4 linked regions of the Lepisosteus oculatus genome follow. The protein of the gene in region 2 binds, or shares a complex with, the protein of the main gene of each other region. Links are inferred from orthologs where the notes say so. Each region holds a gene or a part of one and is shown on either strand. Other genes may lie near its edges.

Region 1 (7,797 bases), on a different chromosome or scaffold from region 2:
TAACCATTCCTTGTGGTTCATTAAAAAATACTCAATCACAAATTCTAAGAAAGTGCAATATGCACAATTTTATTACATCAGTGCTGCTCCTGAAGCACAATGTTAGACAACCACGTTAAGTTTTCGATACATAAACAAAAACAGCTTTTTCTTCTTTGGTAGGAAATTACAGGCTCCATTTCAAGCTTCCTGCCTACCAAAGAATCTATCACAGATCACAGGCTTTTTATATGGCGTAAAAAAAGTGACATTTCTAATTACTATGTAAAAATCAGTGACCCAGAATCAAGAATTTCTTCACAATGTTTTATTCTCTCATTTCTCCATCTTCTTCTTCTTCCTCAACACCTCTGATGTATAGGACGTTATTGCACCTGTACAAGACAAGAACATTTCTGCTCATCAGGAAATCCACAAAGGTCACAAATTCCCCAACTACTCCAATACAAAATCGATGCATTGTAACGTATTCTGACATGCTTTAGCCGATTATAATACAGCAGACACAGAATTCACTGAAATCTTCCTTCCTTGAATCAAAACAAAGAAGAGTGGTACATGTTGTTAAATGGCATGACAACACATTTAGGATCAAACAATTAGTGTGATTCCATAGCCAATTCTTTAATTCTCAATTACAATTATTATGGAAGACTTACTATACACCATGAAATTCAAAAGACATGCATTATCAATTTCATTTGATTTCATCATCATCATGCTTCAATGATTTTAACAATATCCAGTCAAATAAAGCTTTATTTAACCACATACGTCAACTCAAAAAATTTTAAGTTAACTTTTTTTTTTAAGTTAAAAACTAGCACTCTTGTGCTCTGCTTAGTTGCCTACCTCACAAGCACTTCTCCTAAATGACCGGCCAGTGCTCCGTCAACATACTCTTCAGTGTTGGCAAGCTGTGAAAAGAAATAGGAGCACAAACATGACTTATCAATCTCTACAAATGCGTTTCCTACAAAGTTAAAATTTACAGGATAGACAAAAGTAATGTGTAAAACTCACTACACCCAGAACACATACTGTATAAAGGATCATTAAGGATCACATATAATCATTCAACATGGTCATTTGTTCCCCCCCAATCTAAATGAGAAAAGTAACCATAAGGACAAACTCAACCCTGTGCTTTCGATCATCAGTTTCATTGGCATGAATGTTTAAGAAACTCTTCAGTGCTGGTCTGCCAAAAATGTAGTCAAATGTAAAAAATGAAATCCTAATACCCATCATAGACATGTGAGCAGCCATGTTCCACCACGCATCCATGTTTACATACCTGCATATTCATGTACCCATCGACTGAGACCAAATATCCTTTGTACTCCATCCCCCACTTGAGCCTCACCATCACTGGTTTTCCTGTCAGGCCATTGAGGAAGGGCTTGGGGTTCAGAGGCAAACTCTACAAAGACAGCAAGCACCATTAACCCTTACCAAGTGAAGGGAGATAAAACAAATATACCCTTTTCTCACAGACAATTGGACAACATCTTGCCTATGTCTTAAAAAAATACAGCTACAAAAAAAAGTAAACGAAGTATCCAGTGAATGATAATGAAACTGTATGTACGCCCTCACAAAAGACAAATTAGCCTTTTCAGACATGTCGTTGTGGCCTGAATTTTCAGTGAACAAAAAACAATAAATGCAATATTTATATCTATTCAATATTCTGTTATTGTTAAATGACAAGTTGTGCGTGCACTGCAATATTAGGTATAGAAAAATCAGTTTAACATTTTTTCAAGGATAATGAGTAAGATACATTTCTAGAATTATTATTCCAATACAATGACTCAGGAGTTCAAAAATGATTTATGTGTGGTGAAACTGTGGTGAAACAGCATGAACTGAAAAAACTGAAGGTTTTTCATTCACACTGATTTTTCCCCCAATTTTTTAGTGGCACACAATTCACATCAGGTTCTGGGGGAGATGAATTCTGGTCAGTGTCCATCTCGATTCTGCAGTCTAATGTCTTTTGGCATTACTCTGCAGTCCAGCCTGACCAGAAATCCAGATTCAGAGATGTTTTGGCTAGTCAGACTATCAAATCCCAACAAGGTCATTAGAGAGCACAACCTGCTGTGAGTGAGGGACGAGGGATGGACAGTATTACATGCATTTCCTCTACATGATAGCCTGTTCTGGTCTACCTGGATGATGTTATAATAAGTCTTTAAGCACACAAGTCAATTGAGAATGAATCCTCCTGCGCACTGGCGACTCGAACCTAACCCATTTATAGGTTAGGTCCGCTTTTGGAATAATCTGAGTGAAATAACTTGCTTTAAAGTACAACAACAGCCACACTTAATAATTGAATCCCTGGACCTGGTCTGGAGTCAGAAGCCTAAACCATTACTACAACTCCACACATACATAACTATTTAATTGCACAAGAAAATAGACATTCTGATTAGATTAAAAGCATCCTTCAACCATCCTTAACAATATACTCTGGATTTGGGCGGTCGTACTTGTTTTAAAAAAGTTCCACGCTTCCTGAACTTTCTCCTATTAAGAATTGCACGAAGACTGTATTTTCACGTCTTGTCTTCTGCCCGGAATACTCGGAAGATCATCTATTCTGTTTCTCAATTTTGTTAAACTCGACATAGTGAATTCCAGTACCTTCACTGCCTAAACATATCGTACATCTTATGCAAAATCAATATCGAAAATGTAGAACTGTCGGAGAACTGATTTCTCAACGCATTTAAAAGTACTTTCTGATCCAGTACCGAGGCCTAGTAATTCATCAGAACAAATGAAAGGAAATATTTATGTAGCCAGCGCTAACATATCAGATTGAAACCATACATCAAGCGCAAACTCGCACATCACAATTAAAATCGAGATCTCTCAAACACACTCACCATTTTTATCGTTCAATAATAAAACCTTTGTCTTGTTAGTCTCATACAAAACACCGCACGCCGCACCGTCCAAAGTAGGAAGTACTTCCTTACCCCGACCTCTCACCTTTGAACCCGAGGGGGAAGTGTACTTTAATTGGATACATTCTAGACCTTTTAATTTGATTGGCTACGGGGTGTATTGCGCTTCTCAGTGCGGGAAAATAGCTGTGTGAAGAGGTTGATATATGAACAGTATTATGGTTGTCTCCAATAATGTTTTAGAAATGCACGATGGTATCCATGATCATTGTCTAACTTACATTAATGTTAATTAACATGCAAGCATTGTGGTCCTAGAAGGCCGCACGGTACAATTATTGAGGTTAAACAAGTGCGTAAACGAGGTATCATGCTTACATCAAATATGTAATATATTGTCTCATGCCCGAACGCTGACTGCATATGCTGCTTCCCATTATCAGGAGTAAAACGTCCGTCCCGAAATCTTAGAGCCGCATCCCCGCAATATACACCACGACTGTAATATTGTAGCAAGCGGGTTTGCTAGAGCAGCAACCATAGACGGTCACTACCGACAGAAACCTCGGCGAAACGGAAAAAAGACTGTACCGCCGGTCTAAATTGAGTGATATGACACGCATCATACAAATATGTGTTATATACGTATGACAGAAGAGAACAGATATTGTAGATATTGTAATTGACGATTGGGGTACTTCGTGGTTAAGCTCTGTGTCGTTGGTAACAATTGGCTGGCAGCAAATAAGGGAAGTTTCTGTGAGAACCCACTGAGCGTTTCGAAAAAAAGTTCGAAACATTAAGAATCAAATTGGAGTATATTTGTTATTTTATTGTAAAAATAAATTTCTGTAACTCTGATTCAACGGCTCATCCCAATGAGGGCACCTCCATAGCGCCCTCTATCCCCATAGAGTACTGAAGGGAATTGCTTTAGAAGTTTTGGTCGAAATAGAAGAGTTGCCGCGTAATGTATTAATCCGGGGTTCCCGTGGGTATGCGCCCTCGCCGCTGCCGCCTCAGGTCGGCCCCCCACCAGGAGGGTCCTGGCCTGGCCGGAGAGCCTGCCCCGATGGAGGTCCTTGGCCCACACGGAGAGGCTAGAGGAGGAGCCCACGGAGCAGCCTGGAGGGGCGGTTTGGAGTCGGCGGGACACTCGACTCTTCAGCTGGGGGCAATGTAGCGCCACGCAGGGCGCTTTAGCCATGTGCACGCAAGGTGGGTGTGTTAGTGAAGGTGCAGCGCTGTAACCCCTGTCCCTGTGTGTGTACCTTTCCCCGGTTTGAGTTAATAAATGTGTTGTTCAACCCCATTCCCCGAGTCCCATGCCTGCTCCATTCCTTGCCGAACCCGAATCCATTACAATATATGTTTCATTAGAATTATATTTGGTAATTATGGCCATGCACATGCTTTGCTTGAATATTGTGACCGGATATTTTATGTCGACCTTATGACTACAGCCTTCTTTCATTTTGTAATGTATATTCAGACTACGAGAGGGACAGTAAAAGATGCAGAAAGTTACAGAAACATAAAAGCTTTTACTAAAAAGTAAAACAACGCCAAACCAAAAGTCCCCAAAAAGCTTGTTGTCTAAAAAGTATAATATAAGTTGTATTAGAAATTTACTTTCGAAATTTAATTTTCTTTAGGAAATGTTTGTGCTCTAGAAAAAAAGTCTAAGGATTAATTAATACTATAAAATGTTTTTTTTTCAAGAATCTTCTATTTTATGTCATATTAAGACAAAATATTCTGTCTTTTTACAACAATTTGTATAAAATTAGACGTATTTGTTGCTTGGCTTTAAAAACACGTTTTTTAATGGGGGATTCGGGTTTAATTAGAACTGTCAAAATAATCCCAAACTTGCTGCTATCATAAATTACACAATGATCTCGTCCTCTCCCCAAAACATTCTTGTTCTTTCTTGCTTCTCTGTTTTTTTCTAATTTCTCGTTTAGCAACACAGTTAAATATAAATTTATTACCTATATTGGATGTTTTTAGAACACTTGCTTTAATTTCACAATGCTGTTTTGAAACCGTTTTCACTTTGACAATGTGGTGTAAATATTTTTAGAACATATCACAGAATGCCTTTATTCGAAAGATCAAATAAAGCGACTATTACATTTTTAGGTGTGAAATTTAAATATTCTCAATAATTAGTCATGACCACTTTAAGGTTATCCGTAAATGAGAAGTAGCCATAAAATATTATTCACTGGCTAACCCTCGGGGGTCGAGGATAATTGTCTTCAATGAACGATAAAGCCTTTGCTGGCCGGCCGAGCAGGATGTCTCGGGAGATAATCAGGGCACGTATCGCGCATAATCATGAGGATAGAAAACATCGTCTGTAATGAATAAAGTGTAGATGCTTTCAGTAAGTGACCAGATGGTGGCACTATCTACTAGCCTTCACACTTTGTAGCTCTGCTCATCCAAAGAGTTGAATTAACGACGTGTTCTTCTGGAGAACCTCCACGTTTCCACTGGTTTTACAGGAGCGTTTCAGTTACCAACTGATTAAAACCCTAAAAGCAGGCGATTCAACTTCTTATCCGAAGAATTATTTAGTTAAAATCCGTGATGGAATTAAAACCACAGGGCTCTATGTCCAAGGACTGAAGCTGTCAGTCTAGAAAGTCAAGAATAATATCGGCTGTATAACCCAAGAGCTCACCCAACTGTTTCTTGAAGAATCTCAAGGTACTGACTTCAAGAACATGAACTGCCAGCTTTGTGCAAGGAGTTGCCCCCAGTTCTCCGTGCTAAAACACACTTCTGCATAACTTTAAAATGTTCCTTAGGGTCAGAGTTGCGGTGCTGAGCATAAAGTAATTATATTAGGCTCACCCTGCCCATACCTTTGAAGATTTGTAATGGTGATGTGCAGTTCTCTAATCATTTCTGTTAATCACTGTTCAAGACTGAAGAGAAAAGTTACAGCTCAAAATAATTTTTCTGCTGTGGTAAGAAATGTTTCCCTTGTGATAGACTGGCATCCTGTCCAGGGTGTATCCCACCCAGACTGGCATCCTGTCCAGCTGTATCCCACCTTGCGCCTGTTGCTTGCCAGGATCAGCTCCGGCTCCCCCACAACCCTAAAATGGATACAGCTGTTCGAAAATGGATGGTGGATAAAAAAATATTTTTTTTTATCCATCCATTATTTATCCACACACCTGAAGAAGGCTCCATGGCTGAAACATTGTGTTTTCTTTCTTCTCTTTTCAGCATATAATAAACCTATTGCTTGTTCCTAAAAAAAAAATATTTTACTCCAGGTAGGTTAATTGAGTTCATGTGCACTATATAAAGCAGGAAATTCAAATGTAACACGAACCCCATCAGAGATGTATGTTTTTGGCCCCTACCCCCACAGTACAGCTCTGAAATTTGTCTGTAAAAATATTTATCAACCAACTGTACATCTGGAGATTTTCTTACAGACATTACTTTTCTTATTAGAGGAAATGGCACATGAGAACAGATGCTACAACTCAGCTAACTACCTCCTTGATAAGTAAGGAAAGCATCTATGTAAAAAATGCACTGTGACGAAAAAGAATGGTACCTCTCTGGCGTCCGTAGCAAAAAAAACAGCTTCGTTTGGCTGTAGTCTAAAGTTTATATAAATCTAACAGGGTATAAAAGGAGCACTCATTTTTTCTCAGATGATAAGTTTTACGCAGTCTTATAAGGAAGGATGAATAGGTTTAGTTAGACTATCATCATCAGTAAGATTTCCAGGCACATCTGGCAGAGCGAGAGGAACTGTAACTACTGTAGACACGGACCTGATTTTAGCCACCCAGTTTGGAACAGCCAATTCCATCTTTGCTCACACAGGCTCTTCCAGCCTGCCCACGCATTACACCATTCATCTTTGAGCACGCTGCAGTGAGGAGCAGGAGGCCCAGTGCTCATGGGAGGAATGGCTGGCCTTGATGATGTCAGAGAGCTGGCAGACCTCAGTGTCACGGGAGCCGGGCCAGACTCCCGTGAAATGCGTTGTTAAAGACCCTATGCGTGACGGAATACTCCGGAGTTCATTGATCCAAGGGTGTCACCCAGCTGTTTCTTGAAACAAGCCGGGGTTTCAGCTTTAACAGCATGACTGGTTAGCTTGTTCCAGTCTCCCACAGCTCTTTGGGTAAAGACGTGCCTCCTGTTCTACCTTTTAAGTGCACTTTTTCTTGTTTTCCATGTGTGCCCTCCACCTCGCATTTAATCGTTCATCGTTCGCTATGGCCGACAAGGAAGGGCAAAAGACAAAGCTGTCAAAGACAGAGGCACAGAGGAATCTGTGAGGAGACGCTGCGGCCTGCGTGAAAATGTATTCCTTCTGGAAAAAGAGGTCGGTGGAGCTGGTACCAGAGAGGTGTGGTAACAAGATTGTGGCGGAAGATTGTGTGAAATATTCTGTCTGGTCGGGTGCAGCCTCCTGTTCAGTTCCAATGAAGGGCATGATTCTGCTTGTGCGTGTCTGGCACTGGCAGACTGGCAGCTGGCAGACTGGCAGCTGGCATGCGAAGTAGCAGTTTCCTCATGTTCCAGTATAACGCACGGGCAGCCTCCCTACTATGGGAGCCAGTGAACCATAGTGAGGTGATCGTGGAGTAATAATTTAAGTGGGTGTGGAGAGTTCAGTGTCCTACATATCTCCCTGCTTAGCTCAGCAAAGAGTGGGATTGAACGGGAAATATTTGGTCAAATTATAGAAAAAATAATAATTAAACAGCCCACAAATATTGAATCAGCTGGTCTTGTAGCACATTGCTGCATCCTGATTTATTATCAGAAAGGAATCTTGAAACCCAGGATTTTTTTTAGAACTTGTATCAAGGTATTTTTCCAGTATGTT
Region 2 (6,930 bases):
GGCTCTGACAGCAATAGAGGCTGGAAAAGAAGATGTTCATGACCAGACTCGTTAGACGCTTGTTTTCCTCGAACAAAGTTTTATTTAAAATTATGAACGAGCAGTGCACCCTCTCCATACCCACAAAACTGCTAAAGAAAATGTGAACAAACAGAGGGGGCTACTGTTAATTCCATAAAAACAATTCCAGAAAAATATTCTTAATCATATTCGTTACCCTTTTACACCTGACTTGCCAATAAACAGTTTAGTCCATTTTTAACACATGATCACATTAAAACTTGTTCAGAAAGTCTTGATATATAATATTCGTGGGTCAAAGCTCCACAGCCGAAACATGTTTCTTTTCTTCTCTTTTCAGCTGGAATAAACCTGTACTTTTTCCTCTGCAGCCCACATATGCAGACGCAGCTCCCTACGTGAACTACTTCAGTGTATATATATATAAAAGCATGAATATTAGATATCAATAGATGTTAATTTATATCAAGTAGTATAGATTGGGATATTTATAAAATTGTATGTAACTTCTGAATAAAGTCTTATTTATGGAAATAAATAATTTGTTTATTCTTTTAAAAATACTTAAACTATCATCATTTGAAATTCAGTGAAAAATTACTAGATGAAAAGACCATCAAATGTTTGAGGAAGAAGTCAGTGGAGTCGTCTTACTGTAAAAAGTCCAACAGTTAAGTCATTTTCCAAGAAAGGGTGTTTAAATACCTCCCTACAAAAAATATTCAAAATATTTGCCCATGAAGAATGTTAGTTGCGTTTACCTTAAATTTCTATATTTTGCTTTCAGATATTTAAAATTAGGAACATAAAGATGTTACACAGTTTTTTGTTCTATAGAAAAAAACGTCTCAAAGTTTCTGTATGGACACATGGTATTAATATATAAAACTCCTGTCCTCAAAACCAATCGAGGGATAAAGAAAAGCAGGTTTTAGAAGTGTATGTGAATATGAAAAATGCCACATTTCCTTAAGAAAAAACGAACACACTCATCTTTTATCGCCAATAACCTTCTCAAGAACTTTTTTTGCTTTTGCTTTTTGATAATGGCTTTTACATGTTTTCCTTCCTCTGCTTAGATTTAACTTTTATTTCCAAATATATTAACACAATGTGAGAGAGAATAATATGATGTAGTTTAGGTATCCAATTAAACCTTAACATACATTTGAAAGATTTTAAGTACAGTATTTTAAAAACCTTTGTCAGGTAAATAATGTTTAATGTAGATGTTTACTGGTGATAAGATGCACACTGTACTTATAAATTAAAATAAACACCCCCACAAAAAAAACTTTGTGTCAGTCAAGAAATGAAACTGAAACCATTTTACTTTATAAACCGATACTCCTAACTGTGCCCAAAGATCTGGACTAAATTAAGTTAAAACAAGATTATATAAACATTGGCTTTCAAAATAAAAACAAATAAAAAAATACAATTACAGTTTATTCAATCTCATCCATGACACTCATGATTTCCAAATTTCTGGGTATTTCGTTATTAATAGAGAAAACAAATTATGTTCTTCATTAAAGCAGTATATTTTATCCTTATTGAATAATTAAAACATTTTTATCATCAATTTATTTTATTGTTATATAGAGCCTTTTCAAGACACTTTTCATACATTGTACAGTAAAAACAAGTATAGTATACAGAATACATAATAAAACCAGATATCATTTTAAAAATGAAAAGAAAGAAATAGATGAAGAAGTAAAGGCTGCCAAAAATGATAAGCTTTAAGGAAAACGTCAACACCATAACAATTACAGAATTTCTGTATGAAATGAAAAGTGTAAAAGTGCTACACTGCAGTAGTAGACAACACCTAATGGCACAGTTACAGTATAAAGTAGCATATCAGGTAGTCCAGGTGGGGGGCTGCGTCAGCATGCGTAGTCTGCAAAGGAACAAGTAACAGGTTTGTTCCATGCTGCTGTTTTCTCTCTTCTCTTTTCAGCATGGAATAAACCTATTACTTGTTCCATATCATATAAAGTACATTCAACCTGATATAAGTGAAGAATCGTTTTTTTATCAAATAAAACCTTATTTAACAAGATGAGTCAGCTGAGAGCACATTTTCATTTACAATGACAAGCTGGAGAGTCTTCATTAATACTGCAATCGGAGTGCAGCTTCCTCCCCAGGAGTACGATAGCAGCATGGCTCCAATCCAGAGTGATTCATCCTGTTGTACAGATTATATCAAGGCCCACATTGTTGGAATCCCCATTAGAAAACCACACCCTTAGCAGTACTCTTGGTCACAGCAAAGAAATGAAACTGAAACCTTTCCACCAAAGAAAAATGAGTTTCTGAACATGCAAAAACAATGTACAGTAAATGGAGTTAATTTATTCTTTGTCTAATATCCTCAAAATCATCCTGGATCACACGGACCTCTAAATAGTACAGTACTGTATACCGTCTGTGCTGTTCACTTGAGCTGACAATTCAAGACATTGCTTAGATTTATACACTTCCAATAGACAGAGAAGACAGAGACACAGACCAACAGTCTGACATACAGTAAAGTTAAACAGCTAAACAGAAAGATATTTTCATCTGAACACCAGATTTCCCTGATCATTTAGCATTGATTTTAGCAACCCGTACAACTTTGTACTTTGAACAGTGGGGTTGGCTGATCGCTATAAAAATATATTTATAGTTTTCCGTTTCTGATTAGGAATTATACTGTAGGTTATTAACGGTGTAAAGATAATCTCCAGGTTTTGTTCTTTGTTTTAGACTTACATGTGAGTTCAAATAGAAAGATATTTTTATCTGTACACCAGATTTCCCTGATTGTTTAGCATTGATTTTAGCAACCTGTTCAACTCTGTGAGGAAACGCAACATTAAGTATTTAGTCATTACTAATTAGAATACAGTATAAGATTATAAGAACAGTTACTGTTAAAACAAGAGGTGGCCATGCCCTGTGATTAGCCCATTTGGTAGTTATTAGTTAATTGATCTGGAAGAATCTCATCCAGCCATTTCTTGAAGGAAACCAGAGTATCGGCGTCAAGTTCTCCTGTTTTCTGTTCTTGGAGTTTTCACTTGTGTCCCTGTGGCTTGTGTTTCACTGTTTGTTTTGGAGTCCCTTGAGAAAACTCCTTCGGCAGCTTGGAGAATTTTGAATACTTGTATGAGCTCCCCTCATATTCCTCTCTCCTCGAGAAGAATAGACATGCATCCCAGATGGGCAATCTCGTTGAAATGCTACAGAACAGCAGGTTTTATAGCTTTTACAGCTGTGTATTAAATTGTCCATCCCCAAACACTTTAGGACATTTAATACTTCAGTAATAAATATTATTTTTTATTTCACAAGGCAGCAATGTCATCGGTTTAGAACGAGTAAGAAATGAACATTCTGAAACGAGTGACATCAATATTACATTTAAAAAAATAAATATAGCTCAATAACTGGTGGCAAAAAAAAGCGTATCACTGCCTAATTTTATGAATACCTGGAATGTTATTAATCATATTCCTTTTTTGGTTTTTAGTCTTAAATATTTGATTAGGCAACGTTTCCATTAGAGCAATAAGTATAGCAATGAAAGAAACAAACAGCTTTCAATTTATGTTTCAGTTCTGTGGGTGAGACATTATTGTAATAACCTAGTACTGTGTCCGAGTATTGGATAAAAACACTAAAAGTGAGTTTGATTTAACACTGCAGACTTTTTCAGAATGCATGTTCTAAGATACAACTACAAATAAACTAATAATAATACCTATGTTTTGTTGTGGCTGCTTTGAAGTATTTATCCTTTACTTTTTCTCTTATTCGTAATTCCGCTTTTCGCTGTTTATTTTTTCGCGTTTACTGTTTTGACCCCATCCGGCTCTCCGTCAGCCCGGATTGTTTTCACGAGCAGTAATGGCCGCTTCCAGTGCGCTTGCTTCTGTCTCCAAAGCCGAGTATCTCAAACGCTATTTATCCGGAGATGGAGATGGCAAAACGTCAAAAAACAAGAAAGCCAAGAAGAAAAGACCGCAGTCTACAGCAAAGGGGTATGTTTCAGGAACCAGTGACTCAATCAGGCACATTAGAAATGCAGAAAGTGACTGAAAGTTGTAGGCCGGACTAAACTTACTGAGATACTGGAGTGGAGTGTATGAGCGCAATCGAGAGCGTTGTCTTGATTTTACCTCTACGAGCCGCATAAAACGCTACAGTACTGTATATGTGAGGTTATATTCTCAATAACCCAGGTTGTGGAAGTCTTGAGAAATGTATTTTTGAAGCTGTGCTGTGGGGTCTGATCGTTCTGTTGTGGGAAACTCGAAAGAGGATTATTGGTCGCAAGGTAATTTGGGTCTAACATGTCCAGTGTTTTCAGCTGCAAAGGATCTCTGCTAATCTCTGTGTCGGACATGTTTTCCTGCTCCTCTGGTATTGTAGGACCAGTCTTTCTCTAAAAACTTCAGGAGTCCGGCAGAGAAGATCCTGTTGGACACCTTTCATTGGGGAAAAAGTGCTTCCTGAATGAGAACTGAGAAGGATTTCTAGGAATCTTTTAAGAGACACGTTTATGTCCATAGAAGAGCTTTTGACGATTTATCGCAATACTGTTCAAGGGAGAGTTGATAGATCACGCCTGTTTATCCACAACAGACCAACAGCTATGACTCTTTTTTTAAAGCGTTTTTATTTGTGGCAGGCTACATGTCGGTGATTACAAAAAAGAGCATTCCTGCTGTTTTTTTTACGTTTTGCCCTCCTGTTGTTGCTGCTGCTTGCAGGATGAGAATAGTGGATGACGATGTGGACTGGAAGCAGCTGATAAAGTCAGAAGAGAAGGACGACTACGAGGAGGAAGAAGAGGCTCCAGTGGTAGGAATTCCTTTATAGTTTACATTCATTTACAAATGCATTGGCTTAAACTATGTTTAGGTGCATTTCTGCTGTCCTGAACCTTGTGGAGAATCTTTGCACAAAAGCTGTTCCTTCTGCGTGCTCTGTTGTCGTCTTCCTCTTGTAGGTGGCAGAAGTGATAGATGAGCGTCCGGAGGAGGTGAAGAGACTGGAGGAGTTCAGGAACAGCAAGCGGTGGAAAACTTTGGGAGGTAAGAGTAACCGATGCTTACCTGCTCTTTTGGGGCTAGCATTCTGATGATTTAGCATCTATAAAGTTGTACTGTAATTGTCTAGGTGCATACATAATATTTGATTTGAGTTTCTAAGCAGTTTTATCAAATATTATTATGTTTGGTCTTCTAGGTACTAATGAAGATTTTCAGGATTCAGACAAGTTCCAGGGTGTCCGTTCATCAGCAAGGTACAGAACTGATGTTTAATGTATTTTAATTTTTCTTATGATTGTCTCGGCTTTGTATGTGGTACAGTTCGATGCATGTCTGTTAAAGCAGCTCAAATGCTATGAGATCATTTTGACTCACAAGAGGCACTTCCACTGTTAAATTATTAATGAAGAATGCCCCCCAAGAAGCAACACTGTTAGGAGCATTTGTTTGTCCAGGCTTTCAGTATTGGAGTATAAGAGACAATAATGAGCTGTCATTGAGTTTCTTTGGTGCTTAAAATGTGGATATTTCTAAAACATTACAGATCATAAAACAGAATACATTAAAACAAGTGTGTAACATTTGAGTTCATCTGTGTAATTGTCCATTTCAGTTCAGGAGCTGCCTCTCAAAAGAGAATAGAAGAGACATCAAGAAAAGGTCGTCATGATTCTCCAGATTTTTCCTCTGTGAAAAGGAGCCGTCATGACTCTCCCGACCTTTCACCCCAGCAGAAAGGTCGCCACGACTCTCCCGACCTTTCACCCCAGCAGAAAGGTCGCCACGACTCTCCCGACCTTTCACCCCAGCAGAAAGGTCGCCACGACTCTCCCGACCTTTCACCCCAGCGGAAAGGTCGCCACGACTCTCCTGACCTTTCACCCCAGCGGAAAGGTCGCCACGACTCTCCCGACCTTTCACCCCAGTGGAAAGGTCGCCACGACTCTCCTGACCTTTCACCCCAGCGAAAGAGACGTCACCACTCTCCCGACCTTTCACCCCAGCGGAAAGGTCGCCACGACTCTCCCGACCTTTCACCCCAGCGGAAGAGACGTCACCACTCTCCCGACCTTTCCCCATCGAGACAGAAAACTGTCCCCAGAAGAGCACGTCATTATTCCTCATCTCCTTCTCCCCCAGTTAGAAGCCACGGGGGCTCTCCAGCAAGAACTCATAAGAAAAAAGACAAAGGTAAAGAGCAATTTTACTTATGTACAGTGTAATATTTTTAGAAATAAGCCATTTGATATCTGATTATTTTATACCAGTTCCCATTCATGACCCTGTAGGGATGCATGAAATCACACCATCTGGCTTGGTTCAGTTTTGAATAAGTTTATCACAAAAGTCTCTGGAGAGTCAAGCTGTGTATAAAAAGTAATCTATAGCACATACATCACACAGTGTATATCCATCAGCAGCAGGTGACAGACCTTTTGCGTCACCATGTAAAGAGTGGAATATTGTATCAGGAAGAAGGTTTCTGTCTGGACGCTAGTACATAGATAGTCAGATAGTTCTCAGTTTTGACTGCAAAGCCGGTATTCACTTACAGGTCAGGAAGTTTGAAGGTAATTAATGGCTTTCAAAGCTTTGTCACGTCACATACGAGCAGCATGAGTTTGATTTCTCTTGTGAACGTAAACCTTTTGATAGTGTTTGCGTTGTCATTGTGTCACTCAGGGGAAACTTCAGGTTTTGTTTCTTGTTTAAGTGCGCTGTGCATACTTTTCAAGAACAGAATTGAAAAGCACTAATTTGTCTGTTGCACTATATATAAGACAGAGTAAAACTCTTATTTAAGGTTAGTATTCATGTTCTTCTAAGTAAAATACTGTTAAAAGTTGAATAGTTATAG
Region 3 (7,240 bases), on a different chromosome or scaffold from region 2:
GCCCGCGCCTGCCCGCCTGCGTATTCTCTCCGCCGTGCACCTCGGTCCACCTCACTGCCTCGTGGAAGTACTGCTCTTTAACCCCTATGCCATACTCCAGCTCTCGGTTCGGTAAGAACAGAGTTCATTACATTTTCTCTGTGTGATGCACTACCATTTTTTAATGAATATTAGCTACCCTCTCCAGCCACATCTTCCAAAACATACCTGACCATCCCTGAAGAGGCGTTCCCCATGGATGTGTCTTTGGGTTTGATAAACTTCTGGTAATTATTTATTCCTCGGTAGATTTTGTCATCTTCTTTCCCTGACAGTTCCTAATGGAAACAAACGGGTTTTCTTTGACAGCTTGTCAAGTACTTCCTTGGAAAAGAAAAACTTATGTCTTTTTATTTTAGATCCTGTTTTGATTGGAGAAATTTGTTTTTGTTGCTAAACAATTATTTGCTTTAGAAAATTGCTCATTTTTAGTAGCATAAATATTATATTAATATGTACATTTGTTTGCATTTGATAGCCAGTTGAAACTGAAGTGAACAGAATAACAGGTAAGGACTAAATAGCTCTAAAAGATAGGCTGTACCAGGAGAGCCAATTTTCTGATTTTGTGAACCAAGAATAGAAATTTTCTCTTCTCCAATGACCACTGGGATGATTACCTCCTGGATTTTCTGGCTGCGCTCAAAGATGGACTGAGCATCCTTGTCTTTTTCCGTGTCTAGCTCGTAGATCGCTGTAGCACCCATGTCCTCTGGCCCTTCTGGTTTCTGCAACATTGGGGACAAAAACAGGAAGAGATCAAATGAGTCCCTAAAGACACTGGTTGAACCTCAGCCTTAAGGAAGAGTCGGTGCTAATCTGTGGAGCACTGATGTCACTGACAGCCTGCAGGTACCCAGCAGATCCATAGTGTCGCTGTTCTAGTACCTCCTCTTTAAGAATCCCAGTCATTGATGGATAATGACATTTCCAGCCTGGTTCTAAATATTCAAGCGAATCCCATGGTTTCAGTAACATAATCTCACCCCAAAGCACCAAAGGTTTACCTGTTGATGATCAATGGAATGAAAGATATCAAAACAAGGGTTATCTGGTCTTTGGTGGACATTTTAGTATAGTCAGGAAATTTACTACACATAGTCTTTAACAGAGGGGTATTCAGGTTTTTGTATATCTCGCAGATGACTCACAGCAGATTTGGTGGATTTGTAAGCTATCGTCATCTTCTGATCCTCCTTTTCACCTTCGCTGTCACTGGAGGCTACTTTCTCTTTCTCCGCCTTCTTGGTCTGAAAGAGCAAGAGGAAAAGGACAGCACTCAGAACAGATCTGAGAACACGCCAGAGCTCTCCGTGCAGGAGTCTGTGTGTTCGTGTCACAGCCGGCAGATCAAAGGTAAAGGATGAGCTTCCCACTCTGTATACCAGTAATATTTCAGAGCTATACCACTTCTTGTAAATGAGTGGACTTTCACGTGATTTACTGTATCAGCCTTAGTTAAAACTGGGGTAATTCAACCAAGCTACAGAACAGGACCACTGCTAAGGCCACTGCTGCACAACAGTTTGATACTTTTCAGGTTTTACCATTGCAGGCTCTACTGCCTGTACTGATAAAAAGAACAATATTAAATTCACACAGCTGTCTATGGAGGATAGGATATAAGTTTTTTTTTATTCACAATGAGGAAATTTAAAAAATGCAACTATGCATGTTTTTTTATACTGTTCCATTAAATAATACTTTAACATTTGCCACTTTTTATATGATTAAAAAAAAACATGTAACAATATGCTAAATGGACAGACATGATTTAAGCCAGATTTTTTCCTGGTGTGTGTACCAAAAGAGCATGCAAATTGAAATCAGCCTAAATCTCACTCTGAGATTTAATAAATCTTTGTCTTTGATAAATGATCCATATGGCATCAAATATTTTAAAATATAAAGTATGATTAACCAGCATGTGCAAACCTCTAATACCTGAAATGGAAACACCATACGGAGGGGAATTAGTCTATAAAACCGCTTTCTTTTTCCTTTAATTAAAATAAAAATGAATAGCATGAAACCTACAGAGTTCCTTTTTTCATTTTATCAGCAATGCTCATAGGCAGTGTGTCAGTGGTATCAAAGGCACAGGAAATAGTTCTACTGCATTTCCTAACATTCCCATTCCAAACCTGGAATCTTACCCCCTGGATCATGGGATTGGCAATAGTGGCCTTCTTCTCCCGTCGTATCACTGCATGTCCTCCTTCATCACTGCTGCTACCTGGGGCAGGACGGGGCAAATACAGAGGCATGACTGCATTTAAACAGGCAGCTTTAACAGAGATAACACAGACGTAACACATGACCAGGCACCATTATCGCAGGGCAGCCTGACAGACTAGCAGCAGGGTAGACTCACATAATGTGATAGATTAAGGTTATGGATACCATGTCCTGTATGATGTTAAACTGCCTGAGTCTACACTAGTATCATGTAACCAATAATCGTCCAACAGATTGTTAACTTTCTGATAGTTTATCTCCTTATGTATTATGAAAAACTGAAAAGTTTGTCACGTTCTCTAAACATTTTCTTGTCATTTCAATCTTCTTCGCTAAGCCGATACAGTGGAGTTTGAACGTAATGAGGAAATCATTCCCATTCTAAAAAAAATGTATATGCAACTGAGCCTTAAAACGTGCAAAGCTTTTACAGACTGTTGTAACTGGCTCCAATCTTCTCAGACTGACACTGGGCTGCAGCAGCTACAAACACGAGTATGTTTGCTACTACGTCGATGTGTTTCTTCACAAAGAGTGGACAAACACCATGCTCACAGGTGAACGAGAAGGACGTGTGACGATTAACCCACAGAAACAGAACAACGCAGTTACCTTTCTCGCTGTCGCTGGCTTTTCGCTTCCGAACAGAGACTTTTTTGTTCGTTTTTTTAAAGAAAAACGTACAGGTAGCTTTAGACTCCTCACTTTCAGCCATTTTTATTTCTCAGGCCTCTATCCCCCCTCGACTGTGCGCAGGTTCAGTAAATATAACAGCGACATCTAGTGACAGCCCATCAAAGCCCTCCCAAAGCTGCCCCGGGCAAGAGCAAGCGTTCTGATCCGTGGAGAACAGAGAGTAGAGGAACTCATTACACGTGTACGTGTGCACTGGACTTATTATTCGCGCTGATCTCTCGGGACATACACGATACAACAGACAACACCATACAATGTAAGACAGTATATTACAAGATAGTAAATAATACAACCAGAACTATAAATATGTACTAACGAAAGAAAAAACCGTGCATAGTGCAGGCGTGCATTGAGTTTGAGACATTGCAGTTAGGTGTTGAGGATGTGTACTGCAGGAGGGTAGAAGTTGTTCTTAGGTCTAGTGGGCTGAGCTTTAGCTGTACAGTACCGCTTGACAGAGCGCAGGGGGGAGGACAGCCTGTGGTCGGGATGGTTGGGATCCTGAATGATGGATTGGGCTTGATTGCGACAGCGGATGGTGTGAATCTCCCCGTATGATGGTAAATCACATCCTGTAATCCCCTGTGCTGTTGCCACAACCTTTTGTCATGAAAAAGTTACAAACCTCTCATCCTGCCCATCTGACCCCTTTGGTAGCATGTAGCTAATTGATCAGAGGATCTCATCCAGACAGCTCTTGAAAGAAGTCAGGGATTCAGCTCCAACAGTCAAGGCCGGTTATCTTTGTCTTAAAGAAGAGCGTCCTGTGGTCATATTTAAATGCACTTCAAGAAGGGTGAACGGATTTTATAGCCCAAAATTGTCTGGTATTTATTCAGGATAAAAGTTCCTTAAATGTAAAATTTACACTTTGGATTTAGACATTTTGTGTTTTGCAATTGCACTTAAAGGACATGCGAAGAGATAGCAGAAATGTTTTAAAAAACATGAAATGTTTATCCGTCCATCTGTCTGCTAACCGTTTACCAATACAAGCTTGCAGGGAAGCCAGAGTCCATCTCATTAAGTAATGGGTCCAAGGCAGGGGGTACACCCTTGACGGCACAACAGTCCATCTTAGAGCACACAGACTCAAACACACACACACACCAGGGACAATTTTCCCAGAAGCCAATTAACACACAAGTGTGTCTTTGGACAGTGGGAGAAAACCGGAGCACCCAGAGATCAGACCACGTAAACACAGGGAGAAGATACACACTCCACCCCAGGAACTGAACCCAGGAGCCCTGCACTACAAGACAGCAATGCTGACCACTGTGCCCATGCACTGTTTCCCAACTTTGTTATTCCGAACGCAGGAGGAAAACGAGTGGTTTCAGATGAGATAAATTAGCATTTGCCAGCAACGGTACAAACCATAGCATTTATTAAATGTTTATATTCACCCTTTTGTGTGCATGCTTTAACAGGCTTTTTAATGGCAATGAAAAGGAAGTAAAATGCAGTTAATATAAACAAGCAGCAATAGTTACGCTTGTGGCAGTGCAAAAAAAAAACAGCCAAGAGTGACAGGACGACCACATGAGAGCGGAAACCACAGCTGAGTGATGGGAAATCAGATGGGTTTTCACTTGATGAGCTCAATTTGGTCCACATGCGGTTGTAAATAGTCAGGAGATGAATAGAGGCAGTAAATCTTGGATGTAAACCACACTAAAACAAGGGAACTGTTTCTTTTCGCCTGTGGCTCCGGTTCATGGCTCTCCGGGTGACACCGAGCAGGGCTGTCACACTGTCTTGACAAATGTCCACCAGCTACGGCTTTCGTGGGAGAATGGACCAGCCTTTAAATCAGCCGTGCTAGTAAATGCAGGCACATCCCTGAAAGGGGGCCATTGTGCTTTTAGCGGTAAAAAAAAAAAATCACTCTCATTTGACTTTTCTTTGCACTGTGACAAATGAAGGATGTCTTTGATCTCTGGAACAGAGGGAGAAAAGCCGAAAACAGAACAAGTAGTTCCCTGGATAGCGAGAGTGCAGATATTGCACAGAGCCGTCTCTTCAGTGGAGCGGAGTTTCTCTCGCGCACTTGTGCAGGTCAGCACTATCCAGAAAGAGAGCTGGCGTGCCATCAGCCCTCCTGGGGCTCAGCGTACACAGGTTCAATTGGGTCTGACATTCTTCAGTCCTCATTAAAACACTTGGTCCTTGGAACGGATCGCCTCTTTTAGGGATGCAAGGAGTCACAGCACAGTTCAGTGAAGGCTTGGGATTAGTGTAGTTTGTGACAAAAACATCTCCCACAGTGTCCAGCAGATTCCAGCAGAGTTGCGGTGATTTCTAACCATGGTCCTTCGATGTTATTAACATGAATGGGGGTTTATGAGTGACCATTACCAATCGTATGGGAATCAGAGCAGATATTTCCACTTATGGCACAGGGGCTATTCCCAGTGTTTAACCCCGCCTTTCAGTTACTCTTGAGGTGTCACGGGGAACTCTTCTTTCTGATATGTCATATGCAGTAGGTATCTGTTTAAAACACACTCGAGCCAGATCAGAAGTAATAAGCCCAGGACAGAGTCAGATTTGACATTATGTAGAACTGTTATTTTTAGTTGAAATATAGTTTTTGATCCTGCTCAATAATTGAAAAAGAAAAGTCTAACATTATTTTAGGAAAAAATATTCAAAAAAATATTCCAAGCCTTTGTAGCCAATTTAGATCCCTGCCTGATTCTGGGTGCCCACTGAATGTATTAACCCATAAGAGTCTCACACAAGGACCTCTTTTGCCCCTACAACACAGACCTGTGACATGTCCAAATTATATTGCTGTAAGAAACTGAATGTTTCAGCTATTCGTGTATATTGTATATGTTTACTGAAAAAAGTGGATGGAGGAATTTTGAGTGACAATACATAACTTATTCAGACATTAACGAGTTGGAGTTGGGTGACTTCAGGTGACAAAGCTGCTCAGTGGTGGGCATTGCTACTCCTTAGTGCTGGTGCCCTGGGTCCAGTTTTGGACCCGGTGTGCTCTGTGTGGAGCGTGTATGTTCTCCTTGTGTCTGCAGGGGTTTCCTCTGGGTGCTCCAGTTTCCTCCCACAGTACAAGAACATACCGGTAGGTTACTGGGTTTGGGGGAAAAGTGTAGCTGCTGTGAATGTTTGTGTGTGCCTGCCCTGCGATGGACTGGCGTCCAGGGTTGCTGGCCAGGATAGGCTCTGGCTCCCCTGCAACCCTGAAGTGGTTGAAGTTGTTAGAAAAAGGTTGGAGCAGGGTGAAGATAGTAATTATTTTATTAGTATCCATACAACATGTGCAAGTGCGTGTAATTCCATGAGGAGCTGTCTGATCCCCTTTACCTCCTGCCCCCCCCTCCCCAAACCGCCACCTCTGCTCTTCTTCCAGGCCGGAGGCTCCCCTCTCTCACAAAGGCCCATTGTGAGCTGACGCGCGGGGGGACCTTTTCGGCGGAGAAGGGCCCTTCCTCCTTTCTCAGTCTTTTGATTCTTTTGTCAGGCTGCTGACTGACCAGAGAAAGGAGAACAGAGGCGTATCCCAAAGAGGAATCCCCCTTTCTATCAGACCCCCCCTGCCACCCATCTACGGCCCTGGGCATTGAATCAAGAAACCCTCAATTCGGTGCCAAGTCACGAACGGTTTGGGCTGAGCCTCTCTCCCCTCCCCCCTTCACAAAGCAGCATACTCGCAGTGCTTGTGAAACTGTTGTACTCTTTTCACACTTGTGGGAACATCAATGACATCAGCAAGACAGTAATGAGTTTCAAGGCTAATCCAGCTCCTATGACTTGTTCCCAGAATTCAATCCTAAATAGATCTCTAAGAATCTTGAGCGACACAACTGACTGGCCATCTGGGCTTTGCAGACACTGATCTTTCACACAAAGTGCTAGCTCACACTGGTTGAACAGATTTGTACCTGTCCTGAATTTTTTTAATGCAGGGTGGGGTGTATGTTCACTTTGTGTGTGTGTGGAGCTGAGATGCTGCCTGCTTTTAGTACCAATGGAGAAGGTCAATATGATCGTGGTTAGTAGATAGCAAAACTCTGTCCAGATTGTGGATGATATACTGTACTGATGTAAAAGAATGTTGTTTGCCTTTCTAGGTCTTAAAAAAGTCTCAGTACCACAGAAAAAAATGCATTAAAAATAATTCTTGTCAATTATACATGCCCATACTCCAGTACATCTATTAGAATCTATGATACCTCCAAAACGTGAAGGATTGTTATTATCTGTCCATCAACTTTCTAATCACTTCATTCCAATT
Region 4 (7,104 bases), on a different chromosome or scaffold from region 2:
CATTGTCTGTTTAGGATGAACTTTTTCTCACCTTTTTTTGTCAGAAAGATTTGCAAACAGCACTGAAGAGAAGCACAGGAAGCTAGACGCTGCTGAGGACAGACTTGGCACCCAGTCAACAGGCTGTCAGTTACTGCCTGCAGCTCATTGCTTTATCTGCTGGTGAGCAGCTCAGAGAGCTCTCCGACTCACAGCAAAGTTCTGATGTTGTCAATGTGGCTCTCTGATCTGTCAGAATCGAACGAGAATGGATTCTAGTGGGAGGAAGAAAAACATGGTTATTGACACACTGTGCATCGGCAGAATTTTACAACCACCTGCACTGTCTGCCCAGGGCTGAGAGGTTTCTATAAATGATAGAAGAGAAGGAGATTCACAAAGCACTGAGAGAGAGAGAGTGTGAATGGGAAATGGAGAATGAAAGAGAGAGGGAGAGAGAGGTTGTGGGTGAGCTAAACCCACAAAGTCCCGAGGCTGCAGTAATTTGAGCTGGTCGACAATTAATCATGGTGATAAATAATGAGCTGCTGTCGTACAGAGCTAATTACTCAACACTGTCCTGATGTGGGAGACTGTAAATCATCATCTGACTGGTCTGCAGCCGGATTGCTGTGACGGCGCCTGAGAGCATCTGTTGTGCCCACTGTTCTCCCAAAGGACAGGACAGACCAGCCCATGGGGCCTGGAGAGAGCCAGGACAGGACAGGACAGGACAGGGCCAGGCCAGGCTGGCGCAGCGTGCCGCTGGTTCAGACCTCCAGCACAGGAGAAGAGAGAGACTGCGTTTCCGCTGCTGGCACTAGATACCTAAATCAGGGGTCATGAGTTTGCCTGAATAGCTGTCAGCAATGAAGATAAAAACAGGTTTAATAGCTCGGTACTTCTTAACCTGCCTTTACGTAAGTTAATCTGCTCATAAACACACCCACATTATCAGAAGCCTCCATGAGTAATGTGCTGGAGAAGCTCAACCTGCTCCGGGAGCGGATTCAGAGACTGCAGGAGAACCAGTGGGTGGCGCTGTCGGGGAGAAGATGCCCTACAAGGGAGAACTGGAGCCCCAGTAAAATGACAGATGTGGCCAATTGGCACGGTTTTCCACCTTGCTCTGCCACACCTTCACCCCGATTCTTCAGGCTTCACTGTGATCTCTCTCCCCTGCGGGAAGGAGAAGGAGGCTTGAGTGTGCTGCCCAGCTGTCATATGGACATGAGGGTCTAACAGTGTGTTTGACGCAAAACCTGGGGGAAGGACTCTGCTCCTGGAAAGCTGTGTGATGGATCGCTCAGAAATGGGAATTCCTTTTTTTTGGTCTGAAAGCCGTATGGAAACAAGGCTGCCATTTTTCTGAGGTTGCTGTATCAAGAGACGAAGGCAAACACTAAAGCTGCTGTCTGCTGCACATCGCAAACCCCACACAGGACGCTCTGCACCTGTGGAATTCACTGCCACTGGTGGCTTAAACACCCATCACCTCCCCTCAGCGTCTGCACTCCTGGTCTCACTGGATCAGTCTGTGCTGCTTTACTCCTTTCCTTTGTCGCCGTGCTGTGTTGACCTGGGCTATTGTACGGAGCTTTGAGTTTCTCAACACGTTTGTTCGATAATAATGCACTGGTGGGATTTTGACACGTTGCCAGCTCCACAGCCGCTGGCAGGGTGCCACACGACCTGCAAATGCGACGCAACGTTCCCGGCGCTTCGGGTTTGTAATATTTGCCTGCTGGCTGAATGAAGGATGTGATTCATTCCGGGCCAGCGGAATTCTTACGGACAGCATGGAGGCTCTGCATACACTGGAGGCCTGCAAGGGGTGATGGGAAGAGTGGGAGACACTGAGCTTCCTGGGATCAGTGTCACACACCCCTTGAGCAGTCAGCAGGCTGCCGAAGGGCTCGGAGAGCTCTCATGTGGCTCTTTTTTGATGTCCACTCTACCAGGCCAGTCAGCTGCTCCTGTGGTCGCGCGGTGGTTTTTTGTCTCCTGTGCTGTTCAATGGGATCTTGCAGGCGGTAGCTCTTGCGATGGCTCTGGGCAGCACGGGGAGACCGGAGAGGCGCGCAGTCGGAGACGAGCTCCGCGTTTGAAGAGGGTGAGCGAGGGAGGGGAGGGGAGGCGCTGGGCAGCCCCCCAGGCGCCGGGCTGTCTCGTGCCAGTAAGCCAATCCCCAGCGGCCTCTGCCTGCGCCTTTACAATGGCAGGGCATTCTCCGGCTCCTGAGCCAGCACAGATACCCATCTCCCTCTCCTCTCCGGCTCCCAACAAAGGGACACCTGTGTGTGCGGCCTCGCCCCCTCCCGCTCCAGTCCGCCCCTCCCTCCCTCGCCTGCGCAGTAGGAAGGAGGGGCGCTGTTCTGTTCTACCTTCTCCCCTCTGGACCTCTTGCACGGTCTTGAGCTGTCCATCAGAAACTCTGGGCTCCTCCTCTTATGAAGTCTCCTCTGAGTCTGGGCCTCAGCAATCTGCATCACTCTGGCTGAAGAAGAGTTTCTTATTCTGGATTATTCTAATCTATTTGACCCTATCTTTAGATCTTCTAGTATTTTAAACACCAATTGCATCTGATTTTCCTGTGCTCTAGACTGAAGGGATTTAGTTCCTTGAACACGTCTAGGACAATCCCTTGAGACTAGGAATCATTCTAGTCACTCTTCACTGAGCTCATTCTGCACTGTGATAATGATAACGTTCTTTTGTTCTGTGTGGTGATCAGAACTGAATACATTTTATGAACGCTGAGTGGGTTTTGACATTTCATCAATTGTATTATGCAAGATGAGACCACATGCAGAAGATCAGACATTCTCAGATATCACACACCCACTCGCCCACACGCGCACACAGGGACAGTTACAGACAACAACTCATCCAGCCTGAACATCTCTGAGAGCTGAGAGGAAATGGAAACACCAAAAAAGTGTTTCCTAAAGAGCCATCTCTGTGTGCTGTTGTTTGAGTTAACAATTACGGTTTATATGTCTTGCAGTGTACTGCTTTTGTTTCATTTGGAAGTTGTCTTGCCTACCATAAAATGGAGTGTTTTGGAAATTGTTGAACATATCACAAAATAGGAAACAAATGCATTTATTATTGATGTTGCAAGGAAGCTATAGTTATTTTTATCAAAACTAATCTGTGCACTGTGTACAGCCCTGATACTTATTTTTCTGTTCATCCGTTTTCTGACAGCTTCATCCAATTCAGGATCAGTTGGGACCAGGAAGCAGTAGCACTAGGCAGGGAACACCCTGGACAGGATGCCAGTCCATCACTGAGCCACACAGACAAAATCGTACCAGCCTTGATTTTCCCAGAATCCAATTAACTACCAACGTGTCCTTGGGCTGTGGGAAGAAACGGGATCACCTGGAGTTTACCCTTGCAAACTCCACACAGACAGTACCCCAGGTCTGGAACTGAACCCTGGGGCCCAGCACTGTGAGGGAGCAATACTGACTGTACCACCATAGACAGTGAATTCATCACACACTTCATTACAAAATACTTATTAAACAGTAGAAAGGTTACTAGTTTAGTAAAAAATTGGACAAAATATATTTTATTTAAGTGTCTCCCTAAACATGTGTGTTTTTCATTGTTTTAATGAACATCATTAAAGAAAAACATTTTTTCAAAGTTTTAATGAACATCAAATAACACATATAAGGAGAAAGGGTACCCAAAAAAGTCAAGTGGAAAAAACACAGAACAATATGTTGCCGGAGTTATTTTTCACGTACTTATTGTAATTTAAGTGATATGGCATTCTGGGCTTGTTAGCATTAGAGGAGGGGTAGCATTAGTCCTTTTTGTTTTTGAATGTGATATTTACCTATTATTAACAACATTAAATATAAATATTTTTCGATATTACATATTGAAAAGCATAACATGATAACAAGCTCCTTAAATTTAACATTCACATTATTAATCTAAGATGACTAACAAAGTTTTGCAAGCCTACAGTCTTTAAACGTTGCTGTGGATGACACGCTCTGGGTGACACTCACGGCTCCTGCCAAGTCCGTGCGCGAAGAGACGGGCACCGTGCGCTCGCGAGAGATCGGCCTCCGAACGGAAGTGTGCAGAGCGCCTGCGTGGTAACCCGGAAGCGCTTGTAGAAAGTGGAAGGAGCGGACGGTAGTTCTGTGGACTTGCGCTGGTGGGAAGAGGGGTTGTTTTTTGGCGAATTATTTTCAACACAGTAAACATTTCGTCTTATAATTAACATCGCCAAGTAAAAAACATGTAAGTAAGCAGTAGTTTGTTGTAAATTCAGTCGGGGACGGATGTTAATGTGAACCGCGTCGCCGTGTTTGAAGCCCATGGAGGCGGCCGGCGCCTTTGTTAAAGCTTGCAGCGCGTTTTCGGTCAAGCATCGTGGTTCTCAAATCCCGCGTGGGGTGTTTTCTTTTTAATTTCTTATCATGTAATGCCCACAGTCTTGCATTTCCTCGGCTGTGAATTGACCTACGCGCTACGGTCGTGTGTTTCCTGCATTTAGCAACGGGGCCGAGACTGCTGAGCTCGGAGCACGGTTGTATAGAAATACGGGTGTTCACGGTAGTCGTTTCGCAAACGTAAACTTTAAATAACAGTTTGACTTTAATTGGCTGGGAGCGATCCTCATAATTACTCTCTCCTGGGCTGTATATTCGGCTGCAGGTTTCTACAGTGTCACGGAAGATGCCGTTTGGTAACTAGTAGTGAACAAACACATATCGAACAAACTTTAATACCGGTATGCATACCCTTTTTCTTGCAAAACGGAGTAAAGAAGTCCCAATCTGGAAAATAGAAAATCCCAACAGTTCGCTTGCGGAGCCTTCCTCGTGTGTGAGGGAGGAAGAGGAAAGGAGGATGACTATGGACCAACTGGTTTGTGAAGAGAATAATAAGAGGGCAAGTGAGGAGGTATCCAGAGGAGCGGTAATCTGAGGTTGAAGTCCAGAGAGAAGTCAGGGATGTGTGGAATGTGCCGACCCAGGCGAGAGTTAAACTCACACGCTGGCCCAGATCCCCTCTGGAGCTTTTTTACAGTGCCGGTCTTGCTGTCTCTCTGCCTGGCCGTTAAGTGCAGCGCAGTGCCCCTCTGATCTCTCCCTCTCTCTCTCCCGCGGGCAGGAGTCTGCTGAACAAGCCCAAGTCGGAGATGACCCCCGAGGAGCTGCAGAAGCGCGAGGAGGAGGAGTTCAACACCGGGCCCCTGTCCGTGCTCACCCAGTCGGTCAAAAACAACACGCAGGTGCTCATCAACTGCCGCAACAACAAGAAGCTGCTGGGCCGCGTTAAGGCCTTCGACAGGTACGGGCCGCCGCCGCCCCGTCCCGCACACACCCCCCCATCCCGGCTCCTCCGGGAGGCAGCCGCCAGCCCTTTTGTGTAACTGATGGCTGATTTAAACTAGGATGGCCAGCAGCTCTATCACCCTGCAGCTCCCCGCTGGCAGCCCGCTGAAGCTCAGCAGTGTCATCCTGGTCAGTACCTGGATGGGAGACTCCGGGGAAAAACTGTTTACTGCCGGAAGAGGTTGGACCAGTAGGGGGCGCTCACCCTGCGGTCCATGTGGGTCCTAATGCCCCAGTATAGTGACAGGGACACTATACTGTAAAAAAGGCGCCATCCTTCAGATGAATAAAACCGAGGTCCTGACTCTCTGTGGTCATTAAAGATCCCAGGGTGTTTCCCCGGCGTTCTGGACAAATTTTCCATTTATTCTGTGATGCCGAATCAGTCAGGATGGTTATTATTGACTGCTGGCTTGATAGCATAGATAACAGACCTCCTTGGGCTCCTGGCACTCCCAGGCAGAGGTGCCTGTGTCCCATCGCGCCTGTTGCTGAAATAAGAAGGCACCCTGTTGTTATTTTCTGCCCTAGTTCAGGGAGTCACAGGCAGCTGTGGTAATAACCTTTCCCTTGGAAGACGGTCGTGTCTTTTATTTCCCTCGCTGATGTAACTCAGTGGCTCCTAGCCCTGGAGGAGAAATACCCCCTCCTTGCTTGCATTTATACCCTGCTGTAAGTTTAACCTTATACGGTTGTATGCAAACATCTGGGCGCCCCAGGCCACATTACGTGTTTTGTTCATTTTCTAAGTGAAAATAAGTTAACAAAACCTCTGCAGCGAACAAACTTAAACTCGACATATTTCTGCTGATTTCAGTGCAGTCACTATTTACTTGCTGAATTTAACAGATTGGAAAAATAAAACCGTGAATTGAACCTAATTGACTCGTTAATCTAAGTCAGGTGGTGACAATTCCAGAGCTTAATAAATTCTGACTCTTCAAACCTCTCAGGGTGTTGTGCTGTATTTAGCAAACCAAATCCTCCACAATTTTACTACCAAACTATTGCATGCCTGTTGCTGGAATTAACTATATGGTATATATTTTATTTTATGGTTTATTTTTTGTTGTTATAAAGCACGTTAGGAATAAGTCCTCATTGTCCAGTTGCTTAAAATCCAAACACCTGAATGCTTATGAGTTGTTGATGCTGAGGAAGAGCTCAGGTGGGCTGATACCAGAGGAGATGGGTCTGAGTTTATTAACTGGAACAAAATCATCCTCCAGTCCTCAGTGTGTTGTAAGTGTACATTGGATTAAGATTATTTGGTCAACAACAAACTGGAAAAGATTGATATTCCCCACTGAGAAATTATTGTAATTTGATCCTTTTTCTTTGGAGAAAGGGGAATTTGTCCCAAGGCCTGTAGCTGGCGTGAGGAGAGCGTCTCATGTGGACATTACTTATCAGCTTACCAACGTGCTCCTGCTGGTTTGCAAGGTCACACCGCACGCGACCAGGCCCGCATGATGGACACTGAAACCAGACTCGTGTTCTCCTGGCGTCCGGGGGGGTGGAGGGACCAGCATCTCCGAAGCCCCCGGGAGAGCGCCTCATCCGCACTGACCCCCGTCTCTCCTCTCCCCCCTCGCAGGCACTGCAACATGGTGCTGGAGAACGTGAAGGAGATGTGGACCGAGGTTCCGAAGAGCGGCAAGGGAAAGAAGAAGTCCAAGCCCGTTAACAAGGACCGCTACATTTCCAAGATGTTCCTGCGGGGTGATTCGGTCATCGTGGTGCTGAGGAACCCCCT

What was found.
Region 1: bud13 (region 2) and snrpf share a complex: the UniProt entries of both Homo sapiens proteins name them as parts of the minor spliceosome. The link is inferred for Lepisosteus oculatus from reciprocal best matches to the Homo sapiens genes BUD13 and SNRPF.
Region 3: bud13 (region 2) and rnf113a share a complex: the UniProt entries of both Homo sapiens proteins name them as parts of the minor spliceosome. The link is inferred for Lepisosteus oculatus from reciprocal best matches to the Homo sapiens genes BUD13 and RNF113A.
Region 4: bud13 (region 2) and snrpd2 share a complex: the UniProt entries of both Homo sapiens proteins name them as parts of the minor spliceosome. The link is inferred for Lepisosteus oculatus from reciprocal best matches to the Homo sapiens genes BUD13 and SNRPD2.

Annotation. Positions count from the first base shown.
Region 1 is NC_090702.1:41,356,308-41,364,104, reverse strand, and holds snrpf (small nuclear ribonucleoprotein F), read right to left. Parts: upstream 3,011-7,797; 5' UTR 2,904-3,010; coding exon 2,901-2,903; intron 1,424-2,900; coding exon 1,298-1,423; intron 918-1,297; coding exon 853-917; intron 375-852; coding exon 308-374; 3' UTR 43-307; downstream 1-42. UniProt on the Homo sapiens protein: Plays a role in pre-mRNA splicing as a core component of the spliceosomal U1, U2, U4 and U5 small nuclear ribonucleoproteins (snRNPs), the building blocks of the spliceosome.
Region 2 is NC_090718.1:5,139,029-5,145,958, reverse strand, and holds the start of bud13 (BUD13 homolog), read left to right. Parts: upstream 1-3,911; 5' UTR 3,912-3,924; coding exon 3,925-4,058; intron 4,059-4,790; coding exon 4,791-4,881; intron 4,882-5,029; coding exon 5,030-5,114; intron 5,115-5,268; coding exon 5,269-5,326; intron 5,327-5,685; coding exon 5,686-6,263; intron 6,264-6,930. UniProt on the Homo sapiens protein: Involved in pre-mRNA splicing as component of the activated spliceosome. As a component of the minor spliceosome, involved in the splicing of U12-type introns in pre-mRNAs.
Region 3 is NC_090723.1:1,931,855-1,939,094, forward strand, and holds the start of rnf113a (E3 ubiquitin-protein ligase RNF113A), read right to left. Parts: upstream 3,016-7,240; 5' UTR 2,993-3,015; coding exon 2,890-2,992; intron 2,276-2,889; coding exon 2,196-2,275; intron 1,290-2,195; coding exon 1,191-1,289; intron 768-1,190; coding exon 660-767; intron 318-659; coding exon 208-317; intron 1-207. UniProt on the Homo sapiens protein: Required for pre-mRNA splicing as component of the spliceosome. As a component of the minor spliceosome, involved in the splicing of U12-type introns in pre-mRNAs. E3 ubiquitin-protein ligase that catalyzes the transfer of ubiquitin onto target proteins.
Region 4 is NC_090698.1:1,335,281-1,342,384, reverse strand, and holds the start of snrpd2 (small nuclear ribonucleoprotein Sm D2), read left to right. Parts: upstream 1-4,100; 5' UTR 4,101-4,246; coding exon 4,247-4,248; intron 4,249-5,124; coding exon 5,125-5,304; intron 5,305-6,945; coding exon 6,946-7,104. UniProt on the Homo sapiens protein: Plays a role in pre-mRNA splicing as a core component of the spliceosomal U1, U2, U4 and U5 small nuclear ribonucleoproteins (snRNPs), the building blocks of the spliceosome.